Linked DNA regions of Callithrix jacchus. The protein of the gene in region 1 purifies or fractionates together with the protein of each later gene. This does not show direct contact. Links are inferred from orthologs where the notes say so. Each region holds a gene or a part of one and is shown on either strand. Other genes may lie near its edges. The genes, in order: MAP3K7, CARD11, PPP6C, TGFBR1, PELI3, RIPK2 and USP18.

The links.
Region 2: the proteins of MAP3K7 (region 1) and CARD11 purify together in Homo sapiens (affinity purification with western blotting; 3 studies listed by BioGRID). This does not show direct contact. The link is inferred for Callithrix jacchus from reciprocal best matches to the Homo sapiens genes MAP3K7 and CARD11.
Region 3: the proteins of MAP3K7 (region 1) and PPP6C purify together in Homo sapiens (affinity purification with western blotting; 3 studies listed by BioGRID and IntAct, with this or other methods). This does not show direct contact. The link is inferred for Callithrix jacchus from reciprocal best matches to the Homo sapiens genes MAP3K7 and PPP6C.
Region 4: the proteins of MAP3K7 (region 1) and TGFBR1 purify together in Homo sapiens (affinity purification with western blotting; 3 studies listed by BioGRID). This does not show direct contact. The link is inferred for Callithrix jacchus from reciprocal best matches to the Homo sapiens genes MAP3K7 and TGFBR1.
Region 5: the proteins of MAP3K7 (region 1) and PELI3 purify together in Homo sapiens (affinity purification with western blotting; 3 studies listed by BioGRID and IntAct, with this or other methods). This does not show direct contact. The link is inferred for Callithrix jacchus from reciprocal best matches to the Homo sapiens genes MAP3K7 and PELI3.
Region 6: the proteins of MAP3K7 (region 1) and RIPK2 purify together in Homo sapiens (affinity purification with western blotting; 4 studies listed by BioGRID). This does not show direct contact. The link is inferred for Callithrix jacchus from reciprocal best matches to the Homo sapiens genes MAP3K7 and RIPK2.
Region 7: the proteins of MAP3K7 (region 1) and USP18 purify together in Homo sapiens (affinity purification with western blotting; 4 studies listed by BioGRID, with this or other methods). This does not show direct contact. The link is inferred for Callithrix jacchus from reciprocal best matches to the Homo sapiens genes MAP3K7 and USP18.

The regions. Positions count from the first base shown.
Region 1 is NC_133505.1:96,667,375-96,671,468, reverse strand, and holds the start of MAP3K7 (mitogen-activated protein kinase kinase kinase 7), read left to right. Parts: upstream 1-1,294; 5' UTR 1,295-1,503; coding exon 1,504-1,623; intron 1,624-4,094. UniProt on the Homo sapiens protein: Serine/threonine kinase which acts as an essential component of the MAP kinase signal transduction pathway. Plays an important role in the cascades of cellular responses evoked by changes in the environment.
Region 2 is NC_133503.1:19,345,833-19,350,085, forward strand, and holds the start of CARD11 (caspase recruitment domain-containing protein 11), read left to right. Parts: upstream 1-1,453; 5' UTR 1,454-1,647; intron 1,648-4,253. UniProt on the Homo sapiens protein: Adapter protein that plays a key role in adaptive immune response by transducing the activation of NF-kappa-B downstream of T-cell receptor (TCR) and B-cell receptor (BCR) engagement.
Region 3 is NC_133502.1:173,787,365-173,791,419, forward strand, and holds the start of PPP6C (serine/threonine-protein phosphatase 6 catalytic subunit), read right to left. Parts: upstream 2,801-4,055; 5' UTR 2,706-2,800; coding exon 2,631-2,705; exon of another isoform or gene 2,413-2,630; intron 1-2,412.
Region 4 is NC_133502.1:147,251,348-147,254,847, forward strand, and holds part of TGFBR1 (TGF-beta receptor type-1), read left to right. Parts: intron 1-2,083; coding exon 2,084-2,326; intron 2,327-3,500. UniProt on the Homo sapiens protein: Transmembrane serine/threonine kinase forming with the TGF-beta type II serine/threonine kinase receptor, TGFBR2, the non-promiscuous receptor for the TGF-beta cytokines TGFB1, TGFB2 and TGFB3.
Region 5 is NC_133511.1:123,543,589-123,547,088, reverse strand, and holds part of PELI3 (E3 ubiquitin-protein ligase pellino homolog 3), read right to left. Parts: intron 2,214-3,500; coding exon 2,084-2,213; intron 1,018-2,083; coding exon 916-1,017; intron 1-915. UniProt on the Homo sapiens protein: E3 ubiquitin ligase catalyzing the covalent attachment of ubiquitin moieties onto substrate proteins. Involved in the TLR and IL-1 signaling pathways via interaction with the complex containing IRAK kinases and TRAF6.
Region 6 is NC_133517.1:37,377,464-37,380,963, forward strand, and holds part of RIPK2 (receptor-interacting serine/threonine-protein kinase 2), read right to left. Parts: intron 3,015-3,500; coding exon 2,857-3,014; intron 1,028-2,856; coding exon 978-1,027; intron 110-977; coding exon 1-109.
Region 7 is NC_133502.1:213,247,289-213,250,788, forward strand, and holds part of USP18 (ubl carboxyl-terminal hydrolase 18), read left to right. Parts: intron 1-1,300; 5' UTR 1,301-1,409; coding exon 1,410-1,572; intron 1,573-2,805; coding exon of another isoform or gene 2,806-2,920; intron 2,921-3,500. UniProt on the Homo sapiens protein: Interferon-induced ISG15-specific protease that plays a crucial role for maintaining a proper balance of ISG15-conjugated proteins in cells. Regulates protein ISGylation by efficiently cleaving ISG15 conjugates linked via isopeptide bonds.

The DNA.
Region 1 (4,094 bases):
TATTCTTTCTTTTTTTATCCATTTATCAAACTGTCATTGCGTGTCACTAGAACTATGATAAAAAAAAAGTGACACAATGTTTCCCAGGAGTTGGTAACTTCTTGATGGTCAAATCCAATGACCTATTTGCAATCCCAATTGTGTTTAACATAATTCTTTTTTATACAGCATATACTTGGTTGGCTACTTCTTCATTGGAGAGCTTTCCTCTGGTGACATTCCAATTACTATTTTCCTCACTTCCCTCTTTCAGTCTCTTACTGAAACTTAGAATTTGACATTAGCGTGAATCCATCCTTGGTCTTTACATTTTCATTTCTAACTCCAATTTTCCACGGTTAGGCTTTATGTCAAACGGACTAAATAGAGTTCAACAGTTAGTTTAAAACTAAAACTTGTGCTGATAGTACAATATAGGCAATGCTGCCCATTTTGGGGACAAGATTGATCTAGTTTCAGAGGACCATAATTGCTTTAAAGTCTGAGCCTATTTTCTCAAGTCCTGAAAATGGAGATGTAAAAATTTGATTTTCAAGACGACTGTTGATGATTCATTTACCAATCTAAAGCAACAGTGCCCTGCACTCGTAATCCATAACTTGAGATGAATACGCCAAATTATGTCTCTTAATCATCTCCTCCATATAAAGTTGTAACACCAAAATATTAACTTCTGTTCATGAGCACTCAACCTCCACAGTTATTCATGTTGCATAAGCTGATTCGCTCTTTTAGAATCTCTCATAGTGTCAGGGACGAGCTCAAAGTAACAGGTGCAACTGCTTCGTTCCATATCCCACACTGAGGAAAATACATTTCGTAAGCTGTCTTAAAGAAACAGGTCAACTTAGTTTAGGGCTGAAACTTAAAGGTAAGCTTCGTCACAAAAACACATTTCAATACCATCTTGCCTGTCTGCAGGCAGCTAAAAGGAGACGCAGTGAGGCCAAAACATATTTCACGCAGCAGAGACGAAACCCCATCTTTCATCTTTCCCGCTGGTCCTTAAAGGACCAACCGTACTGATTTTCCGTCACGTTCCGCGCCACTTCCGCTCGCGCACTTTAATTACGTTAGGCATCAGCTCTCGCGTTATCATCCGGTTGCTGAGGCCCTGTAATAAAGGTCTCGCGAAATTTGTTCTAGAGGTCCAAGCTTGCTTCTTAGCTTACTCTACCCCACCCCCAACGTGTCCCTCCTTTACTTTCCAAGTCAAAAAAATTTCCCCTCCCATCTCCTCCCCCAGAGTTTACGGCCCGCTTCCTGTTTCCGATTTCAGCCCGGAACCGGAAGTATAGTGGGCGGGGCCCGGCAGCGGAAAACGCAGCGGAGCCAGAGCCGGGACACGGCTGTGGCCGCTGCCCCTACACCCGCCACGGACCGACGGGTGGTAGGAGTGCGCGGCTCCAGGCTGAAGGTCGGTCCGGAGGCGGGTGGGCGCGGGTCTCACCCGGACTGTCCGGGCGGCACCGTTCCCGGGCCACCCGGGCGCCGCGAGGGATCATGTCTACAGCCTCAGCCGCCTCCTCCTCCTCCTCGTCTTCGGCCGGTGAGATGATCGAAGCCCCTTCTCAGGTCCTCAACTTTGAAGAGATAGACTACAAGGAAATCGAGGTGGAAGAGGTGAGCGAGGCCCGGCATGTAGACGCCGGTCCCGGCCCGCCCCGACCCCTCCTCTGCCTGTGCCCCAGAGGTCCTGGCTTTGAAGGTGTCTCCCCGACCCCTCTAATTCGCTGGACCCTAGTGGGTCCACCCGGGAGACCCCACATCCCTCAGTGACGCGGGAGTAGGAGTTACTCTCTGAGCTCAACTGTTCGGGAGTAGCTTTTTTTCCCTCACTTGGGCACTCTTGATTTTGGATTTGATATCCCGGTGATAAACAGGAGAATGAACTGGTGAGATATTGTGGTCCACCAGTTCTCGTATCTGTAAGTAGTAGTTTCAGCGAAGATCGTAGCCGTTCTGGAGTTTCAGTTCGCTGGCCGTAATGTTCTGAATGGTCAAAGATTGTATGATGTTCGACTTCTACCTCAATGCCTGGCATGTAGGGGATGCTCAATAAATGCTTCTTAAATTAATAGATCGTCAAGTCTAATAAAGTGTTTCCCTTGGCACCGAATGGTTCTCAATTTCTCCGATTTAAATGCTCGGCTTCCAGTTGGGTTAATGTAGGTAAATTTCACCATAAGTAACATAGACTGGTCTACGATCAAAATATGTTTCAAGTAGCATACTCTGAAGAGAACGAATGATTACAGTGACAATCAGAATATTAACATTAGACTAGAAATCGCTATCAGAAAACCCATATCCTCTTTATTCTGCAGTAATTTATTTTAGAACCTGTTATTTCAATGTGACTTTAAAGCATTGCTTCTTTTCAAATTAACAGAGAGGTAATTGGGTTCTAATGACTATCAAATTTAGAAAAGTAAAAACTGCGTATATATATTTTAAAGACACTCTAGAATTTGTTAAAAACTTCGGTTTAAAATATCAGCTCTTACCTTTTATTTGCCTTTTTAAAAAATTTTTAAGCACTTTGCGTTTTATATACCATGAAAAACCTAGTGAAATATTATAGATTGTCAACAAGTTGTGTCTACTTTAAAATTATAAAATTATTTTTAAGTATCAGCAAGTTCAAAGTAGTAAGATAACGTTCAACAAATAAATTTTTTTTCCTGTGCATGTTTTGGAAGAGTAGTGGATTACTGGATTATATGTATTTTTATCACATAAAGTAACTTTAAAGATTCATTGAGAACATCCTTATTTTACAAGATAATATGATGGGAAGAGCAAGGTGTTTGGAGTTAGAGGAAAGTTCAGTGTATCAGATACGCCATTTATTAGCTGTGTGATTTGGGGCAAGTTTCCCAACCCCTTTAAATTTTAGTTTACTGTAAGAAAGAGATAATAAATTCTGTTTGATTTTATCTGCATAACACATCATAGTCTTAGACATTATATGCAAAACACCTACCACAGGGCCTGACACATATTAGGAAACCTAGTTCCAGAGAGGAAATGTGACCTGCTTTAAGGTCAAATAGCTAAAAGAAGACCTGAAAAAAGGGAGAAATGTTTTTAGTGTATTTTTTTTTGCGTTAAGGCTATGATAAATTCCTTTTCCAGAAGTGGATAGTTGATCCAGCTTTCATGGCTAATATTCTTTTTTAAGAATAAAAATTCAGTGAGTCAGTATACAAGAATTGCAGTTTTTAAATAAGTGTTTGCGTCTGCTCTGTGGTGAATTGCTTGCTGTGCTTGTAGACTACAAATTGTTATATAATAATAACTTGTGCTTTATGGTCTACTAAATGCTTTCACAAACATTTCATTTGGTTCTTAAAACCTTAGTTTCTGTTTGCTACTTTTTAAGGCTTTTTGCATTCTTGATTCACGGAAAAACAAGTTCTAAGGAGGTAGTTATCATTTTGATGCTTTTCCCTAAAGCTGTTTCACTTCTTGTTAGGTTTGTGTGTTTCCAAGACCCTTCTCTCAGTTTAAATAATGTTTCAACCTTTGTGTGTATGTGGGGGTGTGTGTGTATGTAGGACATTTCTAAGGAGTAGGTTTTTGTTTATAGATGAAAATTTTTTTCTAATGGTAGTCAGTTATTTGGGTTTTTTGTTTTATTCCTTTTCATTTTTAATACTCTGTTCATTTTTGCATAGAAGGTTGAATTTAGACATTTCTGATATTGAAAGCATTACATAATTTCCATCATCTTCATTTGCACATATTAAAGCAATGTTATACAATCCAGGGTGAACCATGGACCCTTATTAGCTCTTTGTCAACTTAGATTACACTTCCAGTAAAATTGTGAGTAAAATAACAGAGGAAGATAGTCAGAAACAAAAACTATTTTATGTTGCTTTCAGTATTTTATGTTGTATAAGAATATTACCTTCTAAATTAAGAAAATCATATTTTGTATTTCTCAATATAATTGAATTGTATTATATCAATATAACTAGAAAGTTAAAAAAAAAACTCAATCACAGGCTGAATATGCAGTCCTTTAATTGATACATATTTCTAAGACATCAGCTGATCTTGCATTTCTAATATTGTAACTCAGTAGT
Region 2 (4,253 bases), on another chromosome or scaffold:
GGGTTCATGCGGTTTTGGGTTACACGGACAAATTGTGTAGTGGTGAAGTCTGGGCTTTTAGTGCACACATCACCAAAATAGTGTACATTGTACAGGGTAGGCTGTACCTAATAGGTGATTTTTCATCTCCTAACCCCTCCTAATCTTTCCCTTCTGAGTTGCCAATGTCCATTATCCCACTCTGCCTGCCTTTGCATACCCATAGCTTAGCTCCCACTTTTAAGTAAGAACATGTGGTATTTGATTTTCCACTCCTGAATTCGTTACTTAGGATAATGGCCTCCAGTTCCATCCAAGTTGCTGCAAAAAAACATTATTTTGTTCCTTTTTATGGCTGAGTGTATTCTATAGTGTGTGTGTGTGTGTGTGTGTGTGTGTGTGTGTGTGTATCACATTTTCTTTCATCACGATTTTTGAGTCCACAAACCATGTAAACCCTGGGACCATCCCACCCACCATGATGACCTTTTGGGGTAAATTATTAAAATGATGACATCCAGCTGGGCACGGTGGCTCATGCCTATAATCCCAGCACTTTGGCAGGCTGGGACTGGTGGATCACTTGAGGTCAGGAGTTAAAGGCCATCCTGGCCATTATGGTGAAACTCTATTTCTACTAAAAATACAAAACTTAGCCAGGTTTCATGGTGCACGCCTGTAGTCCCAGCTACTCAGGAAGCTGAGATTGGAGAATCCCTTGAACCCGGGAGGTGAAGCTTGCAGTGAGCTGAGATTGCGCCACTGCACTCCAGCCTGGGCGACAAAGCAAGACTCCATCTCAAAAAATAAAAGCAAAGTAAAATGGTGACATCCAAATCACAGTTACTCTTACAAGTATAGTTCACTGGAATGTTGAGCACACAAGCTGATTGTGGGTGTCTTGGGGCCCAAAGCTAGGGGGATGAGGAAAGCTTTTGCAGGGGTGCTGACCACTGGGATGCCCAGGAAGCTTCCAGAACAAAGGCTGAGGGAAGAAAGAAGCTTGGGCTGTAGGAGGCTGCAGGATTTGATGTGGGGCACCCCATCCCCGCATTGCAGTGACACGGCCTGGAATTTCTTCAGAAATTCGCCTAGACCTCTGGAGCCAGAGCCCTGGAGATCCTAGAAAGGGGATAGCCCCTCCCAAGGATAGCCCCACCTGGATTCTGCCTGGGGTCACAGCTGGGTGGGGACTGATGCCCAGGCTGGTCCACCCTCACCTGGAGGGATGCGGGTGGCTTGGCCCCCTGAGACTAGCCTTGGTCTCCCCATCCAGGGCTGCCTGATCGGTACCCAAGCACCTCCGCCCCAGGCCCTGTCCCCACTCCCACCCCCACCTCCTTAACCTCCCTCCTCCCTGAAGCACGGACTCCGCCCCCTCCTTCTCTTCCTTATCTTTTTCTAACCTTTCGCATTTTTTAGTCTCATTTCCTGTCGGGTTTTGCATTTCCCTCCCTCGCCCCTCCCAGCCTATGACATACTTTCTCTGCTTTTTTCTCTCCTGCCTTCTCTGGCCTTCGGACTCCTGCCCCGCGCCACCAGCAACTCCCTCCCGCCCTGCAACCCCTGGGGGGGCGGCGCCCCTCGGAGGGCCCGGTCGCCTGGAGGAAGCCAGAGGCCTGCATGGAGGAGACGCCCCGCGCAGCTGGCGGAGCATGAGCGCCTCAGGTAGGCACAGCGGGGATGGGGGGCTGGCGGAGGGGGAGCACGAGGCGGGGAGTTGGGGGAAGAGAGGAGGATACGGGGAGAAGATGGGGGGGCATCAGTGAGATGACAGAGTGGAGGAGTCGTTCGGGGATGGGAGTGGCTCATGCTGGCTAGAAGATGGGATGCTGGGGGCATCCTTCCCTCTCCATCTCTGTCCTCCTGTCCCCCTTCTCTCTCTCACTCTCCTCTCCCCTTTTTCCCTTCCAACCCTTTTTGTTCCTCACTTTCCACTTCGTGTACCTCTCTGTGTCTCTCTGAGCGTCTCTGAGTGTCGCTGCCGATCAAAGCCCCCACCTCCTCCTACTGGACAGGAAAGAATTGGGGGTCAGGAGGCTGGAGACCCGGAGGGTGCCCCTCGGTGCACCTGCCCCGGAGGGAGGAAGAGAAACTGTTCTGACACCTGACAGGCCCGGAAGTTTGCAGACCACAGCCCAGCCTGACTCAGAGGCTCCTGGGAAGGTGGGGCCTGGCTCAGGGAGGAAGGGCAACCCCACCAAAAGGGGGTGGGGAGCTGGGAGAGGACAGCCCCCCGCGGGGATTCTACTAGGAAGTGGATGGCAGGGGCACAGGAGGGGGCCCAGGTTCCCCACTGAAGCCCGGAGCAGGACCCTGAGAGCCACCTTCCCCAGAAGGTCCCTCAGGCCCGATGGGGCCACCAGGCCTTCTACTGAATGCCTTCTGCAGAGAGGGGCAGAGAGGGCGTTTCTGTCCCTGGGGGGCTCTGAGCACTGCTGGAGGCTGTCATGGGGACCCAGGTTCATGGACAGTGATCTCACTGAGAGCTTCAGAGCCACCCACACAAACTTGGTCTTGGACCAAACTGACCTCTCTCTGCCTGGCCTGCTCTCAGAGCCTTTGATTTGCAGTTCAAAAAATTTTCTCCTGGCATTCATGACTCATCTTGAAGGTGTAAGGTTACCAACCTACCAGAAAGGGGAGAAAAATAGTCGATTGGTCATTCTACATTTATTGAGTGCTCAGCCTGTGCATAATGCATGCCGGAAATCCTGGGAGCTCGGAATTAATGTGAGGACAGGAATTTCTCCGCAAGTGTCCATTTCTATGCTTTCCCTGAAACTCCAGTTCTCTCCCTAGCAAGGCATCTGTAAAGAGATGATAGCCCTGCCTCAGGCCAGGGGTGCCCTGAGGGTATCAGTGACCAGGACTCAGCTGAGTCAATTAAGGCCAGAGAATGCCTGGACCCGTGGAGATTTTACTTGCCTGGGTATCAGGCAGGCTGCGGCTCTACTGGCCCAGCAGGCTTCGCTTCATGCATGAATGATCCTTTACGTGATTTTTTAAAAATTGTGGTGAAATACACATGACATAAAATTAGCCCATTGAACCCTTTTGAAGTGCACAGCTGAGTGGCGTCAAGCACATTCACCTTGTCTTTCAGCTGTCACCGCTATCCAGTTCCAGAACTTTCTCGTCATTCCAAATTGAAACTGTGTTCCCCGTTAAAAAAGAACTCCCTGCCTCCCTCCTCAGCCCCTAGCAGCCACCCTTCTACATTCTGCCTCTAGGAATCCGGTGACTCTTGGAAGCCCATCTAAGTGGGCTCATACAATTTATGTCCTTCCTGTGTTTGGTTTATTTCTCTGAGCCTTGTGTCCTCAAGGTTCATCTATGTTGTAGCTTGTGACCAAATCTCCTTCCTTTTTCAGGATGAATAATGGGCTATCGTGCAAATAGACCATATTTTGTGTATCTGCTCATCCTTTATATGATTTTAAAAAGTGACTTCTGGCCAGGAGCGATGGCTCATGCCTGTAATCCCAGCACTTTGGGAGGCCAAGGCTGCCAGGTCACCTGAGGTCAGGAGTTCGAGACCAGCCTGGCCAAAGTGGCGACACCCTATCTCTACTAAAAATACACACACAAAATTAGCTGGGTGTTGTGGTGTGCACCTGTAGTCCCAATTACTTGGGAGGCTGAGGCAGGAGAATCGCTTTGAACCCTGGAGGTGAAGGTTGCAGTGAGCTGAGATGGTGCCACTGCACTCCAGCCTGGGCCACAGAGTAAGACTCCATCTCAAAAAAAAAAAAAGACTTCTAAACCTAACTCTTTAAAGATGACGACACTTGTTTGAATCCATCAGTGGGCGTGTGTGGGTGGCTTTGTACTTGGTGCCATAGGGGACGAAGAAATGGCGCTCCATCCCGAGTACATTCATCACACAGTCTGTTCAGAGTGTTGCTGAGATGCACATGAGAAGGAAAAGAATTAGGAGGAGCAGGAGGGCAACAGGGAGTGAGGTTGTGAGAGGAGGACTCAGAAGGTCCAGGGATTCCTGGAAGGTTCTGGGCTGAGATGATGCTGAAAATCTCAGGGAAGAAGGGCAGCCCCACCAAAAGGGGGTGCGGAGCTGTGAGATGAGACAGGACAGCCCCCCGAGTGGACACTATACTAGGAAGGGGGTGGCAGAATCACAGGAGGGGCCCAGGTTCTAGGAATCCAGGAGTTCAAGACCAGCCTGGGCAACATGGTGAAACCCTGCCTCTACTAAAAATACAAAAATTAGCCGGGCGTGGTGGTGGGCGCCTGTGATCCCAGCTACTTGGGAG
Region 3 (4,055 bases), on another chromosome or scaffold:
CGCGTGCCTGCAATCCCAGCTACTGAGGAGGCTGAGGCAGAATTGCCTGAACCCAGGAGGCAGAGGTTGCGGTGAGCCCAGATCGTGCCATTGCACTCCAGCCTGGGTAACAAGAGCGAAATTCCATCTCAAAAAAAAAAAAGAAAAGAAAAAAAGAAAAACAAATAGAAGCAAAGTATAATGCAGTTGTGTTCAATAGGAAATAAAATGGTCTAAAAACTATATTTCATTAAGGTAAGAAGGAAATCTAATGTTTATCAAAGTAAGAGGTCCAAAGAAGTCCAACAGATTCTTTTTTTTTTTGTGAGATGGAGTCTCCCTCTGTCACACAGGCTGGAGTGCAGTGGCTTGATCTTGGGTCACTGCAACCTCCACCTCCTGGGTTCAAGCAATTCACCCTGCCTCAGCCTCCCAGGTAGCTGGGATTACAGGCACTCACCACCACGCCAGGCTAATTTTTGCATTTTTTAGTAGAGATGGGGTTTCCCATGTCGATCAGGCTAGTTTCGAACTCCTGACCTCAGATGATCCGCCCACCTTGGCCTCCCAAAGTGCTGGGATTATGCCATGCCTGAGACGTTATCATAAAAAAAAAAAAAACATTTTATTTATCATAAACACAAAGTTTAAAAAAGCTTTACACATGATAAATAAAAAGAAAAAATTCCAAATCAATTCACTGACATGCAATAGTCAACCTCACCTACAGGATTAATAATGCTACTAAGAGGTCTGGTTAGTTTTCCATGAATTGGATCCCAATGCTAGTTGTATTCTTATTCCAAAAAAAAGAAAAAAGAAACACGCATAGCAGAAAGAAGCCACAAAACAAATGTCTGAAGGACTGATGAGTATGTATGCTACATTGCTACTAATGAAGGCTCTATCCTTATTTTAAATTATCCTATTAAAAATGGGAGCATACACAAGAATGACTCCCCTATAATATGCTTCATAAAATTAACATATAAGTACAATTCAGTTACATTCACAACAGCATGTGTGGCCTCAAACATTATGCATACTTGTTGACTTATGTTAAGTATCAACTTCCAATACCAAAGAAGAAACAAACAAAACCCACAGTAATATATTTCTTGAAGAATACACTAAGATAAATAACTAGCACAAGCTGATAAGCACTGCTAGAAACCTAATAAGCACTGGTTTCACCAAATGCATAAACACTTTTCAAAAAAGCAGCATACCTAGGACGGGTGCGGGGGCTCACGTCTGTAATCCCAGCACTTTGGGAAGTTGAGGTGGGCGGACCAATTGAGGTCAGGAGTTCGAGACTAGCCTGGCCAACATGGCAAAAACCCGTCTCTACTAAAAATACAAAACAGCCGGGTGTCAGCCACCTACTCGGGAGGCTGAGGCAGGAGAATCACTCGAACCCAGGAGGCAGAGGTGCAGTGAGCCAAGATCGCGCCACTGCACTCCAGCCTGGATGACAGAGTGAGACTGTTTCAATAAAAAATAATGATGGAAGGGAGCGGTGGCTCACATCTGTAATACCAGCACTTTGGGAGGCCAAGGCGGGCAGATCACGAGGTCAGGAGTTCAAGATCAGCCTGGCCAACATGGTGAAACGCCATCTCTACTAAAAATACAAAAATGAGCCAGACGTGGTGGCATGTGCCTGTAATCTCAGCTGCTCAGGAGGCTGAGGCAGGAGAATCGCTTGAACCCAAGAGGCGGAGGCTTCAGTGAGCTGAGATCAAGCCACTGCACTTCAGACTGGGCGGCAGAGACTCCGTCTCAAAGAAAAATAAAATAAATAAATAAATAATAAGTTGAAAAGAAAAGCAGTATATCAAACTCATTCCTTTACCCATACATACATTTACTTGGACTCAAGGGCAACGAGGAACTCGTCTTCTTTAGAAAACCAAGAAAACGAAATCTTGAGTTAAGAAGGGGTTAAGGGGAAAGTATTTGTATTTATTAAGAACCAACTACTTTCTCCACTTCAGTAAGCTCAACAAAATACTCAGAAACGGGTTCACCTCTGAATTAGCAGAAGAAAACCCACGGTCCTAAAAGGCAATTTGGAGAAGGTGGAGGAGTGGCAGAGAAGAGGGACGATCTGACATTCGCTCTCGTCAGTACCAAACCACTCGGACCCACCGCCTTCCCCTTCCTCAGAGACCTAAACAAACTGGGGCCGCGTTGCAAGAGCCTGTGGCAACTCCTGTCAGACGCCGGCCACTCTGCGCTCCTGTCACCTCCAACGGGGACGATCCCATCCCGAGGGCACTGCCGCGGGGGCTCGGCAGTGAATGCCGGAGATCCCGGGAAGGGGTGGAAAGCTGCTAAGCAAAGCTGTTGCAGCTACGGGTCCTGGGGCAGCCCGAAGGCCAAAAGGGGCGACCCTGGGGTAGAGGCCGCGAAATCCCTTGGGATACCCACTGAGGCAACTAGGACATCATTTGGGGGACTTGGTTCCCCCAACCATTGGCGTGACGCCGGGTCGGGCCGGGTCGCATGGCATCGGAGAGGGCCCTCCACCGCGGAGAGACGGGATACCCGGCGGGGGTCCCACGAAGAGAGGAAGGGCGGGCCGGCGGGCGCCCCACAGCCGGAAGGGGCGAGCCTGTAAGCAGCGCTCCCGCCCCGGCAGGGCTCACCTTCAGGTCGTTCTCTGGCAGGTATTTGCACAGCCGCGCTATCTCCACATACTTGTCTAGGTCTAGCGGCGCCATTTTGAGAATAACAAGCCGCGGCGACAGCGGCGGGGTCGGCGGCGGCGGCGGCTGTAAAAGCAGCGGCGGCGGCGGCAGCGGCGGAGGCCGAAGCCGGAACTCTCCTACGTCACGTCCGGACCGTGAGTGGCGTCTGCGCAGCGCCGTTAAAGCGCGACCCGCTTCTCCCCGCTACCTCGGTACGCCCGGCGCCCCCTCTGGCTGAACCCCGGCTGCAGGCCCCAAGAGGCCCCCCCATCGGTCCAGCCTGCGAATTCTGATGGGACCCGTAGTCGCCTGCCGCGGGTGTTGCCGGGATTTGTAGTTTTCCGTTGTGGACAGCCACCCCTTTCTTTTCCTCCCCTTCAGTTCCTCCAGACTTTCACCTCCCGGCAGCGGGCGAGGCTTTTCCGAGGCAAAACGGCGGAGTAGGTCGTCCTAGCCACTCACTCGTTTCTCCTTCCAACCCTTTTAAGCACTCTCTCACTTTCACTTAACAACTGGGTAAGCCTGGCCGTAGTAACTTGTTTGCATCTTTCCAAGTGCCTGTGAAAACCTCGCTTAAGCCTGTGGCACAAATGTCAGGCTCCAGCCTGAAAGGAAGATAAAGAAATATTAAAGCATTTCTTGGCCGGGCGCGGTGGCTCACGCCTATAATCCTAGCACTTTGGGAGGCCGAGGCGGGTAAATCACGACATCAAGAGATCGAGACCATCCTGGGCAACAAGGTGAAACCCCGTCTCTACTAAAAATACAAAAATTAGCTGGGCATGGTGGTGGCGCCTGTAGTCCCAGCTACTCGGGAGGCTGAGGCAGGAGAATTGCCTGAACCCAGAAGGCGGAGGTTGCGGTGAGCCGAGATCATGCCATTGCTCTCCAGTCTGGGTAACAACAGCGAAACTCCATCTCAAAAAAAAAAAACATTTCTTATGCTAAATGCGATACAAATTCTATTTTTCCATTTAATCTTTGTAACAATTGGTAGGAAAGTGAGACTTGGAGGCTTTAAGTAGTTTACCCCAAATCTCACAGGGAACAAATGGTGGGGCCAAGATTGGAAAATGGCTTAAGCTTAAGCATACTTCCAGTGAGAATCCCACGAAGGCAGGGAGTTTTCTGCTGTGACTCCAGCACGGAGAACAGTACCGCATACCTTCAGTAGTTTATTCAACCGCTCTTTATTGAGCAACAAAGATGTACCAGGTACAGCTGCAGGCGCTTGGAATACTTAGTGAACAAAATAGACAAAGATCTCTATCCTATCTGTAGCTACAAAAACTACCAAATTTAGCCGGGGGCAGTAGTGCGTGCTTGTGGTCCCAGCTACACTGGAGGCTGAGGCAGAAGAATCGCTTGAGCCCAGGAAATGGA
Region 4 (3,500 bases), on another chromosome or scaffold:
GGGCTGGTCAGACTGTAATATCTTTGTGACTTTGATGAAGGCATCTGGAGTTACAATGTGGCAAAGAAAAGGATAGTTCCAGAATTTCCCAGTTCCGTCATTTGAGCTCAAAATATCTGAGTAGAGATTTGCAAAACCTTGTGAAGAAGTCACTTCACCTCTTATGTTTCTAATGAACATATATACACTTCTCATTTCCAGCTCTAAGATAGGCAAACAAAAAAATTACCAATGAAAAGTTAGGAGTTCAAAAGAAGTAGTCTGAACTACATAGATTAGATGTCATCCTAAGAACTAGGCTTACCACATGATAGGGAAGAAGTTTCAAACAGTTTAAGGTCTATTTTCAGTTATTGACTATGAAATGAGAACATTTCACAGTTGTTAAAGGTTGCTTTCAGAGGAAAAGTCCAACTGATGAATGTTTTTAAAAATGCACTATTGAGAGCAAACAACAGACCAGATGCTATAATTTTATAGTCAAGTTTGGGACAAGCTTAAGAAATTGTGTTACAATTCAGAGAAAAGACAGTTGGTGAGCATATTAAGAGTTATAGGGAACAGATTTAGACTATCCAATATGCTTATTATCAGAATTCTAGAAAAAGGCATGAGACAAGAAAGAAGACAGAATACCACACAGAATTAGTGAAAAATATTAATACAAACACATATAATAAAAATTATCAATTTCAAGAATAAAAGAATTATGTAAGCATTTAACACACATAAACATTGGTTACCTGTAAGAGGCAAAAAAAAAAAAATTCACATTTTTTGCTTAAATATCAGAGGGCAAACGGAACATTCTTGCTGTTACCCAAAATTCTTGAAATAGGCCAAGATTTTTCATATAGAAAGGCAACAGCTTTCTTGCCACAACTAAGTTCAGTGTACAAGGACCCATAGACTCTTCCTGAAAGAAATTACTAGAAATAGGATTCTGTGTGATAAGAGATTAATCTACTAAAGATCTCAAGAATGGGAAAGATGTGATATGAATGAAGTGGTGGTAAGCAGTAAACCAGTAAGGCTCAGGATGAATGTCAAAATAATTGTAATGTTCCGAAACAACCAGAAAATCTTAATTATTAGTAGAAGTTACAAGAAAATGATCTGGACTTAAAAGTCCAGGAGGTTAAAATAATATATATATACATATGTATATATATATATATGAAAACTCTGTTAAAAAAACAAAGGATGTGTTTTGCCTTTAAAAAAATTGGTGGAGAAATGGGCTGGGCACAGTGGCTCACACCTGTATCTCAGCACTTTGGGAGGCCAAGGTGGGTGGATCACTTGAGGTCAGGAGTTTGAGACCAGCCTGACCAACATGGTGAAACCCCATCTCTACCAAGATACAAAAATTAGCCAGGTGTGGTGGTGCGTGACTGTAATCCTAGCTACTTAGGCAAGAGAATCCCTTGAACCTGGGAGGCGGAGATTGCAATGAGCTGAGATTGCGCCACTGCACTCTAGCCTGGGCAACAAGAGTGAAACTCCATCTCAAAAAAAAAAATTAGTAGAGATATATACTAAAATGTGAGTTGTTTGGGAGTGATGAAGATGTATGTGTTTTGGGTTTTTTGTTTGTTTTGATTTTTTTTGTTGTTCGGGTTTTTCTTTTCCCCTGCCATGGGCATGTACTGGCCTTAGAACAAGAAGACAAGCCAGACATACTTTAAAAAAACAAGATGATTATTAAGGAGATGTTAATGAGTATTAACTACTAATTATTAATTACTAATACCAATAACCTGATTATTGAGTATTGGTATTAGTAACCTAATATGATAAGTGAGGAAGGTCCTATAATATTGGTGACAGCTGACCTTGTGATGATGGCTGAAGAATACAGGAAGAGTAAGTGGGTACTGACAGAGCTGGTGTTCATAAAAGGAGGCCTAGTGGGAGAAGACTGAATGATTCACTTGTTCTGGGTTTGAGCCCTATAAGCTGTTGTAATGAGGCTCTTCGGCTAAGTGGTGGCAGTGGCCAGCTGCAGGAATTGTGTAGGATTAGGAAAATGGGGGTTGCCACCTACAGTGTTTTGTTGTTGTTGATGTTTGTTTCACTCAAGGCCCTTTTTCAGTGAAGCCATCACCTGGCCTTGGTCCCGTGGAACTGGCAGCTGTCATTGCTGGACCGGTGTGCTTCGTCTGCGTCTCACTCATGTTGATGGTCTATATCTGCCACAACCGCACAGTCATTCACCATCGAGTGCCTAATGAAGAGGATCCTTCATTAGATCGCCCTTTTATTTCAGAGGGTACTACATTGAAAGACTTAATTTATGATATGACAACGTCAGGTTCTGGCTCAGGTAATGTAATTGTTTCTCCTTTTTCCTAACAAGTCTTTTAAAAATTAAGGGGTATTTATTTTATTAGTTTTTTTAATAAGCCAAGTTGTTAAAATGTGAGATAAATAATATTACAGGTTTGAACCTAATAAAAATCTTTAAGCTTGCTATATATATGCCTGTGGCTAGTTTAAAATAGATTGGAACTTACTTTAACTGTTAAAATGAGTAAGTAGAGCTCCATGTTGGTATAAATTTCAAAGCATTCTCACCGGTATCATCAAATTTGCTTTTCATCACTGTGAGGTAGAAAGGATAGAAACAATTATTCTCATACAGATGAAGCTGAAGTTTAAGATCTTCAAACCATTTGCAGCTAACCCATTCTATTCAGGATTATTTAGCAGCTTGATGTTTATATTTGAAAACAGGCATGACAGAAATGTATTCTGAATTGTGAAGGTTATTTGCTTTTTAAACATTATATGAAATTGTCTTTAGTACAGGCCTCATTTTAAAAAATTAAACTAATGAACTCTTATGTCATTTTCTCACTTCAGAAAAATGTCTAGCCACCTTCTTATTTAAGGTAGTTTTGGCCCCTAATGAGGTTTGCCTTTCTCAGTTCTGTTTGTTGATATTTTGGAGAGCTAATTGTCAGTCATCCCAGGGTGGATTTTGGCATAGCAGTGCTTCATGTTTAAACTGAAGGGCTGCTATCTTTTACTTTTTCTTGCATGAGGTTTGGAAGACTATTAAGGAACACTCCTACCTCGTATGTTTTTAGAATTTGATACTTGACTAAGAATAAATAGAATCTAGTTTCCAAGGCAAGTTTTGTCATAGATTGGCTATATAATCTTGGTTAAAACATGTTTCCTCTTTCGGCTTCTGTTTCCTCATCAAAAATATGGAACCCATACTGTTGATAAAAACACTTCAAATGGTTTGTTAAGACTTTTAAATGAGATATATACTGTCCTTTGAAAAGTATGAATCATCTTCAAATAAGGGCTAAATTCAGGAGTGAAGTGAAAATTTGGAAAGCATATGTAATGAAAATTTCACTAATTTTGGTGAAACCCCATCTCTACTAAAAATGCAAAAAAATTAGCCAGGTATGGTGGCATGCACTTGTAGTCCCAGCTACTCGGGAGACTGAGGCAGGAGAATCACTTGAACCTGGGAGGCGGCG
Region 5 (3,500 bases), on another chromosome or scaffold:
CTCCTTAGGCCCTCTAGGTTCCCAGATGGGTCTCCAAGTACAAGAAGCCATGGCCTGGAGCTTCTCCTCCTCTGTTGCCCCCAGCGCTGGGGATCACCCCACTCAATAAATACCGGTTGATTTGCCAACAGGATAATAATTAATAATAATATAATAATAATATCTGCTGCTCAAATGTTAGCAGCAGATAGTGAATTCTGAGTAACTATTTGCCATAGGCCAGCCACCATGCTAAGCATTTTATGTGCAATGCCTAAGTTAATCTTCCCGTGGGGTGGGTACTATTAAGGGCGTCATTTTACAGATGAGTAAACCAAGGCCCAGAGAACTTCAGTGACAATAGGTGGGCAAGGTGGCTCATGCCTGTAATTCTAACACTTTGGGAGGCCAAGGCGGGTGGATCACCTGAGGTCAGGAGATCAAGGCCAACATGGCGAAACCCTGTCTCCACTAAAAATTCAAAAACTAGCCAGGCGTGGTGGCGCATGCCTATAATCCCAGCTACTCAGGAGGCTGAGGAAGGAGAATCACTTCAACCCAGGGAGCAGAGGTTGCAGTGAGCCAAGAGTCCGCCACTGTACTCCAGTCTGTGTGATGAGAGCAAGACTCCATCTCAAAAAAAAGAAAAATGAACTTAAGTGATGGAGCCAAAATCTGAACCACACATTAGCCTCTCACACCTGAACTCCTGAGCTATGTGACCTCCCACAGTCTGGGAGTCTTGAGTTTGAGCCCTGATACAGCCGCTGACTTGCTGTATGACTCTGCAGTCAGCAGCCCACACTGGGACATCCTGCTTCCTCGTCTGAAGAGAAGCAACTTCCCCATGGCCTCCCATACTGTAGCCTCACCTGAGATGCTTGCAGAGCCTAGAGGCCTGGTGGCCAGGAGGTGTGTGGAGAGGCCTGAGCATACCTGGAACATGTCTGTGTCACTATCATGTGTATACTCCACTATGACTGAGTGGCTCCGGGACAGTGTGTACGAGATGCTGTGCTGGCCACGGTTACTCAGTGCCTGAGGGGAGAAAAAAGTCACTTGCCAGGGTGTGCAGCCATGATAAGGGTATGCCTCGAGCCGGCAGCTGGAGCTCAAGGCCCAGCAGCCACTCCCTGGGAAGTGGGCAGCTCCATCCTTTGCAGAGGGTGGACAGTGCAGTGGCTGTTTCATGTGATTTAAACCCTACAGTCACCCTAAGAATTTCAAAGTAATTGCCTCCTCCAAACTACCTGAGGCTGCTGGGATACCAGGGAGCAGTGGCACAGTCAGAGGGTCAGGATATTCAGTGGTGCCAGAGGATGGACCACAAATGGGGTTACCAGTCTGGGCATGGTGGCTCACACCTGTAATCCCACCACTTCGGGAGGCCCAGGTGGGCAGGTCACTTGAGGTCAGGAGTTCAAGACCAGTCTGGCCAACATAGCGAAACCCTGTCTCTACTAAAATATAAAAATTAGCCAGGTGTGGTGGTGCCCAGCTACTCAGGAGGCTGAGGCGGGTTGAACCCAGGAAGTGAAGGTTGCAGTGAGCCGAGATCACACCACTGGACTCCAGCCTGGGTGACAGAGCGAGACTCTGTCTCAAAAACAAAAAAGAATGGGGTTATTGTTCCCATTTCACAGTTGAAGGAACTACAGGTCAGAGAGAAACTAGCCTAAAGGCACACAGCTGGAAATATCAGAGGCTGAATTCTAACCCAAATCCTCTAAAGCCAAATGTTTTTCCTTTACCATTGCAGTGTGACTGTCGCCTCCCACTCTCTGAACCTTAGCTGCCTCTAAAATGGTGCAGCTCATTTCCATCCATTTCCATTTCCACTGGATGGAAAGAAGCAGCATCGTCTTAGAGGTAGCCAAGGTTCAGAGGGGTCCAGTGGTCAAGGAAGCATTTTGCAAACTGTAAAGAACTATGCACACTGCAAAGGATTTCTCATCACCATTCTCGGCTAGCCCAATAAGCAGTGAGTGATGACACAAAGTAGGCTCCCCTGTTGCAGTGGGGGGCTGTGGGCAGGTAGGACTGAGAATGCCAAAGACCTGGGCCTTGGGCGGGACCGGCTCAGGTCTATGGGTCAGTTGCTTGCCTTGGAGACGAGCGGCGTGGAGATATGGTGCATGACGTCCGGCTTCACTCCGTTGGCATGCGGCCGGCGGCTCAGTGCCAGGCGGCTTCGCCGGCGGCCCTTGTCCCCACTTGCCAGACATCCATTGTAGCTATAGATGTGGGGAGTTAAGAAGAAAGGGTTGTAAGAGGAGAGAGAGAAAGAGGGAAGGTGAACCCCTGATGAGACCTGGAGGAAACTGCCAACTTCTGGGGAGATCCTACGTTAATAAACAAGCTCTAGAAGCCCCACAATAACAAACTGGTGCACTGGGGAGTGGGCGGGGGGTGTCAGAACAGTTTCAAACGCACTTTCATTCAGTTAACCAAGTGTTTCCTGGACACTCAAGCCATGCCTGGTTCGGTGCTGTGCATGGGGGCAGTAGAGCACCACGGGGTCAGTTGTGGGCCCTCAGTGGAGAGGTTCCTCAGCTTCTCCAGGAACCTAAGTGCCACCTGCCACACCCAGACACAAGCCAAGGATGCCATAAGCCTAGAAGAAGAAAAGGGAATTCTGGCTCTAGGATCAGGTTTCTGGGAGAGGAAACACCTCTACTGGGTCTTGAAGAACTAGAAAGGGTTCACCTGTAGCAAACTGTCACTTCTCACACCACTACTAGGAAGCAAAATCAAAGGAAAAAATGACCCACAATGCCACTACCTCCATATGTCTATATATGTCAAATTTCCACCTGCCTTTCCAGTTCTTGTCTGGAAGGGACGGCTGTGAGAGGCACAGAGTGGGTGAGTCACAGCTCTCATTGCTGCCATGGGCTGCTGCCCCCGTGTTCCTGGCCTTCATGTTATCAGTCACCTAATGGCATCTGTGCAGTGGCCTGCCAGGCAAGCGGCTTTCTGCCCATCTTACACATGAGAGAAATCAAGGCTCAGGTAGATAAAGTGACTTGCCTCAGGCTAGTAGGTAAACATGTCCAGATTTGAGCCTGGTCTGTCCCACTCCAGACTTGCAGAAGCCCCTCTAGATGGAGGCTCACCCTAAGCAAAGGCCCCAAGGCTGTCAGGGTCTAATGAGATTGGGGAATGGTGACGTTGGTGAAGTGTGGTGGGGAGATGGCTCTGAACTCCAGGCTGAGGACGTTATTCTGTAAGCAGTGGAGAGCCAGGAAGGTCTGGGAACAGGAGGTGACAGGACAAATAGCTGCCAAATACAGACAAGGCTGCTGGAATCAGAATCTTCCAGAGAGTTTGCTAAAATCCAGATGAGGTCGGGTGCGGTGGCCCATATCTGTAATCCCAGCACTCTGGCGGACCAAGGCGGGCAGATTGCCTGCAGTCAGGAGTTTGAGACCAGCCTGGCCAACATGGTAAAACCCCATCTCTACCAAAAATACAAACATTAGCCAGGAGTGGTGGGTGCCTGAAATCCCAGCTACTCAGGA
Region 6 (3,500 bases), on another chromosome or scaffold:
GAGATCATACGTGCCCGGTGAGGTATATCATATGGCAAACTTTCTTCATTAATAACAGGTCTATGTCCTTGTGACACACTATACATTATCTGCAAAGGATTGGTGACGTCTGTCAAAACAAATGGACTGCATCCATTAGAAATATATTATGATTCAGCATATTACTTACATTCTAAAACTAAAAGAAAATAAGTGAATATTAAAATTTTAGAAATAATTCATTACCCCCTTTTCTGTGAAGGAAATATATATATCCCACACCATTGCCAGACTTGTCTGATTCCTATGGAAGGAGTTTATATCCTCACTTCATTAATTTTGGGCTTGGCCATGTGACTGGATTTGCTCAACAGAGTATTTGTAAAGCAGAGCTGAGCAAAACCTAGCAGAATCAAGAAGAGCTACAGCAACTAATATTTAATGTGAATGAAAAATAAATGCTTATTGTCTAAGCTATGGAGATTCTGAGGTGGTTTTTTGTCACACAACAACCTGACCTACACAAACCTCAAAATAAAGAAATAAACAATATTTTCCAAGAATAAAAAGGACAGATTAGTCTTCAGTGTTTGCTGGTCTTTATAGACAGAGCAGTAATTAAATTATCATATAAATAATTTTACAGCTAGAATGGAACTTGAAAATAGTAATTTAAAATTCTTATTCTGCAGGTGACAAAAATGAGGACTCAAGAGATTGTGTGACTTGATCACAGAGATAATTACTATCAGAATGGGAATTCAAGTCTGGGTTTTTCTGATCTTTAATCCAGTATATTTTCTAATACAGTAGACTCACAACTGCATCCTTAACCCAGTATGCTTTGTAGTATGTGATACATTCACAATTGATAAATTCTTGTTTTAGTGTGTTTTCCACAAAATGAATAAGCAGATTTAAAATAACATGATTTTTAGATAGTTCTAAGGGTGACCTACTAACATGATATTATTGAGCATAAAAAAGTCAAAACATACCTTCAAAAGGCTGTTTTCTGGATAACACTTCCCATGTCATAACTGCATAGCTGTTTAACATAAGAACACACATGTTATGCATTTTAAATGACCTCTGCATAATAAACTAAAATAGCACTATTTTTAAAAGCTGACTGTGAAGATACCATTTTTGCAAGTAAGAAGGCATCAAAGAATTACTGTATACAATTAAGATGATGAATGCTCATCTAGTTTTGTTTTGAAAGAAAATCAATTTTAATTTAAAAAATTAGGAAATTACTGTAATAAAGCTTAATGTTACAGGCAAGATTAACTTTTTGTAGATGATTTAATACTGGGATTAATTCATGAACACCCACATAACCTATGCCCTTTAATTAAATGATACTATTTTTCATACAGAACAAAGAGCAAGAAAAAAGTTCTCATGTGGCTCTATTCTACTGACTTTTTTCTGCTCTCAGCACTCTCTTCTTTGGTAGTGGAAATAATCTACCTACAATTTAACTTCAGTTGTCAATTACAGGGTTAAGCTGTATAGAGTTTATAATTAGAATAAATGGTTAAATGGGATATAGGAATTTTGCCACACCCCAACATTAACCATGCATTCAAAATGGACACATGGAATTTATTACTACCAACACCTTGTGTTACAGGAAGAGTGAGGAGTACAGAGGGAATTCCTACCCAAATAAAGGAATAATATTTCCTCATATTTCCCTGACAGAGAGTACTGAAATTGTACATAAAGGCAAAATTCACAAAATGAATGACTAACAGATTTAAATTGGCCTATTTTTATAGAATCAAACCAGCTTTCAAGAACTGTTGGGAAGCACATGACTTTTGCCTTAGGAAGATATTAATACATTTTCCCTTCCCTCAGTACATCATTCAAAATGAATTAAAAAAATTAGAAAACAAAATATAAAAGGACAGTTTTTTACATTCATACAATGCGAATGTAAAAGACACTGTAAGAATTGTTTTATTGCACCCACTAAAATGGATTGGCTAGCTTTGGATTTAATGAGAAATAACAAAAATTAAAATGCTTTTGAAGAAAAGGAATATACAATTTAATTAAATTTATAGTTCTCTGGTAGAGATAGAGCATTTGTTCCTAAAATGATTCATTTTTAACTGAGTATTTATTAAAGATGGCAAAAACCCATTTAAAGAACTATAAAATGTGTTAATATAAAATTTAGAGTCTGCTTTGGCATTCACTAGTATATTAAAAGAGATAAGCATAACTTATAAGTGAGGTGAATGTCCCTATCTCCTAAAACTATGTAATCATCCTCCTTTTTTTCTGGTTAAATAACGAGTGTCAAAAACAATGTGTTATGCTTATTACTGCATTATGAGATTATAAGTAATATGCATCTGAAATATGAAAATATGATCTTCTCAAACCCACCAATTTGTTGAATAAAAAATTCACACACATACAAATATTAGGGGTTCTTTAAATAGAAACATCCCCTGTATGATTAAGAGTTTGTCTATTTATCTAAAAAGATGTATAGATATGACAGGCTAAAAGGTTGCACAGGTTGAGAAACTTAATGCTAAAATGTCAGAAACCACTATTTCCCTCTGCCTTTCCAAGTCACATACGACAAAAATCCTTAACTATATTATAAAGTGATAGGAATAAGAAGATATGCTTTAAAATTTCTTAAAGGATGTAAAAATTTCTTTAATTTGAAAAGCAAGTCATTAAATTTCTTTAATTTGAAAATCATTTATCACCATGGCCTCAAGTTTATTTTCACCACAATTATAAGAGAAGAATAAAAATCACAGTTTAAAATGTAGCTTCAAAATTCTGGTGGACTAATTTTGTGTTTGAGACAAGGTTAACTGAGCAAAAGCAACTTTACTCTACCTATATATATCATGCTTGATACTGGCCCTTGATTTTTGCCCAGGTTCATAGTTTTCAGGTGGCATATAGACAATTGTCCCTCCTTCTGGTGCAGATTTGCTACTTCGTGATTGTGAGAGGGACATCATGCGCCATTTTGATAAGCCGAAATCTGCAATCTGTAAGGGAAAAGGGCAAATAATTAAAAATTTTTCTCTTTAAAAAGTCCAAAAGTCAACTATCTTTGTGTATATTCACTGCATTTAGTTATCAATCTGAGAAAATGTTATATATTTTAATATTTTATTTCTGTGTATTTCACCAGCTTCTTACAAAATTAAATTCCATAGTGCTGAGCCAAATAACACTAGAAGCAATACATACTGACTTCAAGTTTAATATAACATTACAAATTTCAAAAGAGACTGTTTGAAAAATAAAAAGAGGCATTTTTTATCTGATATTCTCAGTGAGTGTGTACCTTGCACACCTTACTTTTTATGACATATATAGCTTGATACTTTCTACATCTCAAAGAGCTGCTAAGTCTACTCACATCTCATACAATTGTCACTGATCATTTTTTACAGTTCTGGTTTATACAATTGTATTCATAATGTCCTAAAGGTAGCATCCCTCAATTATAAAATAAGCAAAATCTCAAT
Region 7 (3,500 bases), on another chromosome or scaffold:
CTGGGATTACAGGCCTGAGCCACCGTGCCAGGCCTCAGCTCTGAATCTCTGGGGTTAGTCATGGAACCCTAATTTGTTCATTTAGCGATGTCATGTTCCTCTGACTGATCTTGCTTCTTAGGGCTGTGTGCCAGTGTCCGTGCATTGACACAGGTACCGAAGCCAGTCTTCATCATGCGGCTTTGTTTGGGCTCTTCTTTCATCCGAGATTAAGGAGAGGCTGATTGCTCAGGACCCTAAGCCCATGACTGCATCAGCTGTTGTAGTGCCAGGGCATGCCCTAAGTCCGGGATCACTGTGGTTGGAATTCTCTGGTCTCTGAGACCGACACAGCCCGGGTCACGCCTGAAGGCCATGGCTGCTGAGACCCGCACAGCACTGGGCTCGCCCAAGACCCATGGCTGCGATGGCTTGCCTGCTGCTGCTGAGGTTTATTCAGCACCCAAGGTCCCTGTAGCTGGTAGGTGGTGATGTGGGCCAGACCCCAAGTCCCTGTCGCTGGGGAGCGTGTTGTCATCTGGCACTAGGGTGGCGTGAGATCTGCCTGTGGGTACTGGTCTAGTATCAGGGAGCTGAGGCTCTGCCCAGTACTGGGTTTTACTGTAGTGAACCTAGTACTGCGTTCCCAGGCAAAGTCCTCTACCTACCTCTTTTTCCCTAAGCAAACAGTGTCTCTCTTCATGCTGCTGTGCTGGGGTTGGGGGAGGGGTGCACGGGTAACCCTATGGCCACCGAGGCTGACGCAATACTGGGTCACACCCAGAGTCCACTGCCGTGAGACCAGCCCAGTGCCCGAGGCCTGTGGGTGCCAGCGCCTGCCTGGAGCTGAGGTTTATCTGAGGCCTGTGACGGCTGCAGCCGCAGTGATGCGGCCAGAACACAGGTCTGTGCTACAGGGCCGCAGTTTCCCTTCCGGTGTGGGGCAGGTTGAGAGGCTTCCTCTGTGGGTGCCAGCCTGGCATCAGGGGCTGAGTTTCTGCTCAGTGCTGGCATTTACTGAAGTGGGCCTGATCCTGGGCTGCAAAGCGGAGTCCCATGCGGGCTTTCCTGTCCTTCCCCAAGAAGGCATTCTGGGTTAGGATTTGGCAGTCCGCTCTGAGGAAGAATGAATGGAAACTCGGGGGACCCAGAGTAGCGGATGTGTAGCCTAGCTGTCATTTCCAGCCTAGAGCTCTATGCATCAACCTCCCCAAACAGTTACCTCCCGCTAAGCCCTGGCTCTTTGGCATCAGAACGGATTACATGAAACATACACATTCCCCCTTCTCGAATCCTTACCTCCTGCATTGTGTTTTCACAGCGATCCCATTGTGCCTGGCTCACTCCCATGAGCTCTTCCTGGAAGTGAGGTGGTGCTGTCCTGCACATCGGCCTGGCAGCTGCGGCCTGCGGTTTTGGAGTGATCACGAATGGGCAAGGCGTTTGGGCTCCTGGGACAAACCTGTCAGTCAAACCTGGCTGAGTCTCCACGGTCCCCAGCAGATCCTGTTGGAAAGAAGGAAGCAGACAGCAACATGAAGAGGAAGGGAGAGCAGCCCGGAGCTCGTCCTGGGGCCTGGGAATACCCTCATGGTCATTAGACCCCTCCCATTCTCCTCTTCCTGACTGCATGTCTTTTATTTATTATAAACAAATAAATTTGTTTATAATAAACATGTATATTTATCATATGCTTATTAAATATATAATAAATATATTTATATACTAAATATATAATATATAAATTTATTATATATTTATTTATTAAATATTTATTATATAAATAATAAATTATTTATTTATTTTTTAAGACGGGGTTTCACCATGTTGGTCAGGCTGGTCTTGAACGCCTGACCTCAGATGATCTGCCCGCCTTGGCCTCCAAAGTGCTTGGATTACAGGCGTGAGCCACCACGCTCGGCCCTGACTGCATGTCAATGCTTGCCTCGCCCCCTTCGCTCTGAAGCAGCAGAGCATCCTGGCTGATGGCACCGGCTTTCTTGGGCCTGAATTTCTGCGTCTTTTAGACGGGGATACAGCCTGGGCTATGGTGAAATCCTATCTCTAAAAAGCAAAACCAAATGGGGACAATGGTAGCAGCAAGCACATGGGTGCTGGGAGGATTCAGTGGGGTCCTCTGTGGAAGCTGCTTTCAGCCAGCGCTGGGCGTCTAGTGGCAGTTAGTTCCCATGTCTACTGCTGAGGTCCCTTTGTACTGGATGCGGAAATCTGTGCTCACCTGCAGCCCCCAATTTTTACTTTTTTATTGCCCTATCTCATAAGCCAAAGCCCTTTCCCCAAGAAGTCTGAGATTAGTGGTACTCTCTCCCTCTTAAATTGCCCACCTTGTGGGGTCTGCGGAGCCTAAGGTGGGTTGGAAGAGGGGAGGTTGGGTGCCAGGGTTCAGGGAAATGTCGCCTTTTGTTTTTCTCCTATTCTTGTAAGTTCCTTCTGCCTTTCGGCCTCTCGGGGTGAGACTGGATTAGGCGAATCTTCCCCACAGCTGCCTTCTGATCTCCTGCCTCCCAGTGGTGGGGACTGGGCAGGGACCTCTCCACTGGAGTCCGACAGAGACAAACTGGGGAGTTCCTCTTGTCCGTGAGCCCCGCAGATTCACATTTGGACTCGGCTCTGAGGAGAGCACTTGGAATGAGGGAGCCCATAATTCCCAGTCGTGCTTTCTCTGATGTTTCTTTCTTTGTCTCCCCCAACAACGGCTTGCCCTACTCATTTGGCCGTGAATAATTTACATTTTTGGTGACATCTCACTTCATCTATTGGGCTATTAAAACTTTTCTTATTACTGAACTTTTTTTTTTTTTTGAGATGGAGTTTTGCTGTCACCTAGAGTGCAGTGGCACGATCTTGGCTCACTGTAACCTCCGCCTGCCAGGTTCAAGCAATTCTCCTGTATCAGCCTCCCGAGTAGCTGGGATTATAGGTATGTGCCACCATGCCCCGGCTAATTTTTGTATTTTTAGTAGAGATGGAGTTTCACCATATTGGCCAGGCTGGTCTCGAACTCCGACCTCAGGTGATCTGCCTGCCTCTGCCTCCCAACGTGCTGGGATTACAGGTGTGAGCCACTGCGCCTGGCCGGTGTTATCTTCTGTTCAATTTGTTTGCAAGCTCTTGAGTGAACGCTTTGTACCTCTAAGAGAACTTTACAGGATTTCATGTCCTTAGTAGATTTAAGAAAAACATTTGATTTTTGTCAACTTTTTTTTTTTTGAGATGGAGTTCTACTCTTGTTGCCCAGGCTGGAGTGCAGTGGTGCAGTCTTGGCTCACTGGAACTTCCGCCTGCCAGGTTCAAGCCATTCTCCTGCCTCACCCTCCTGAGTGGCTGGGATTACAGGCACCTGCCTTGACGCCCAGCTGATTTTTGAATTTTTAGTAGAGACCGGGTTTTCACCATGTTGGCCAGGCTGGTCCTGAACTCCTGACCTCAGGTGATCCGCCTGCCTCGGCCTCCCAAAGTGCTGGGATTACAGGTGTGAGCCACCGCACCCAGCCTTGTCA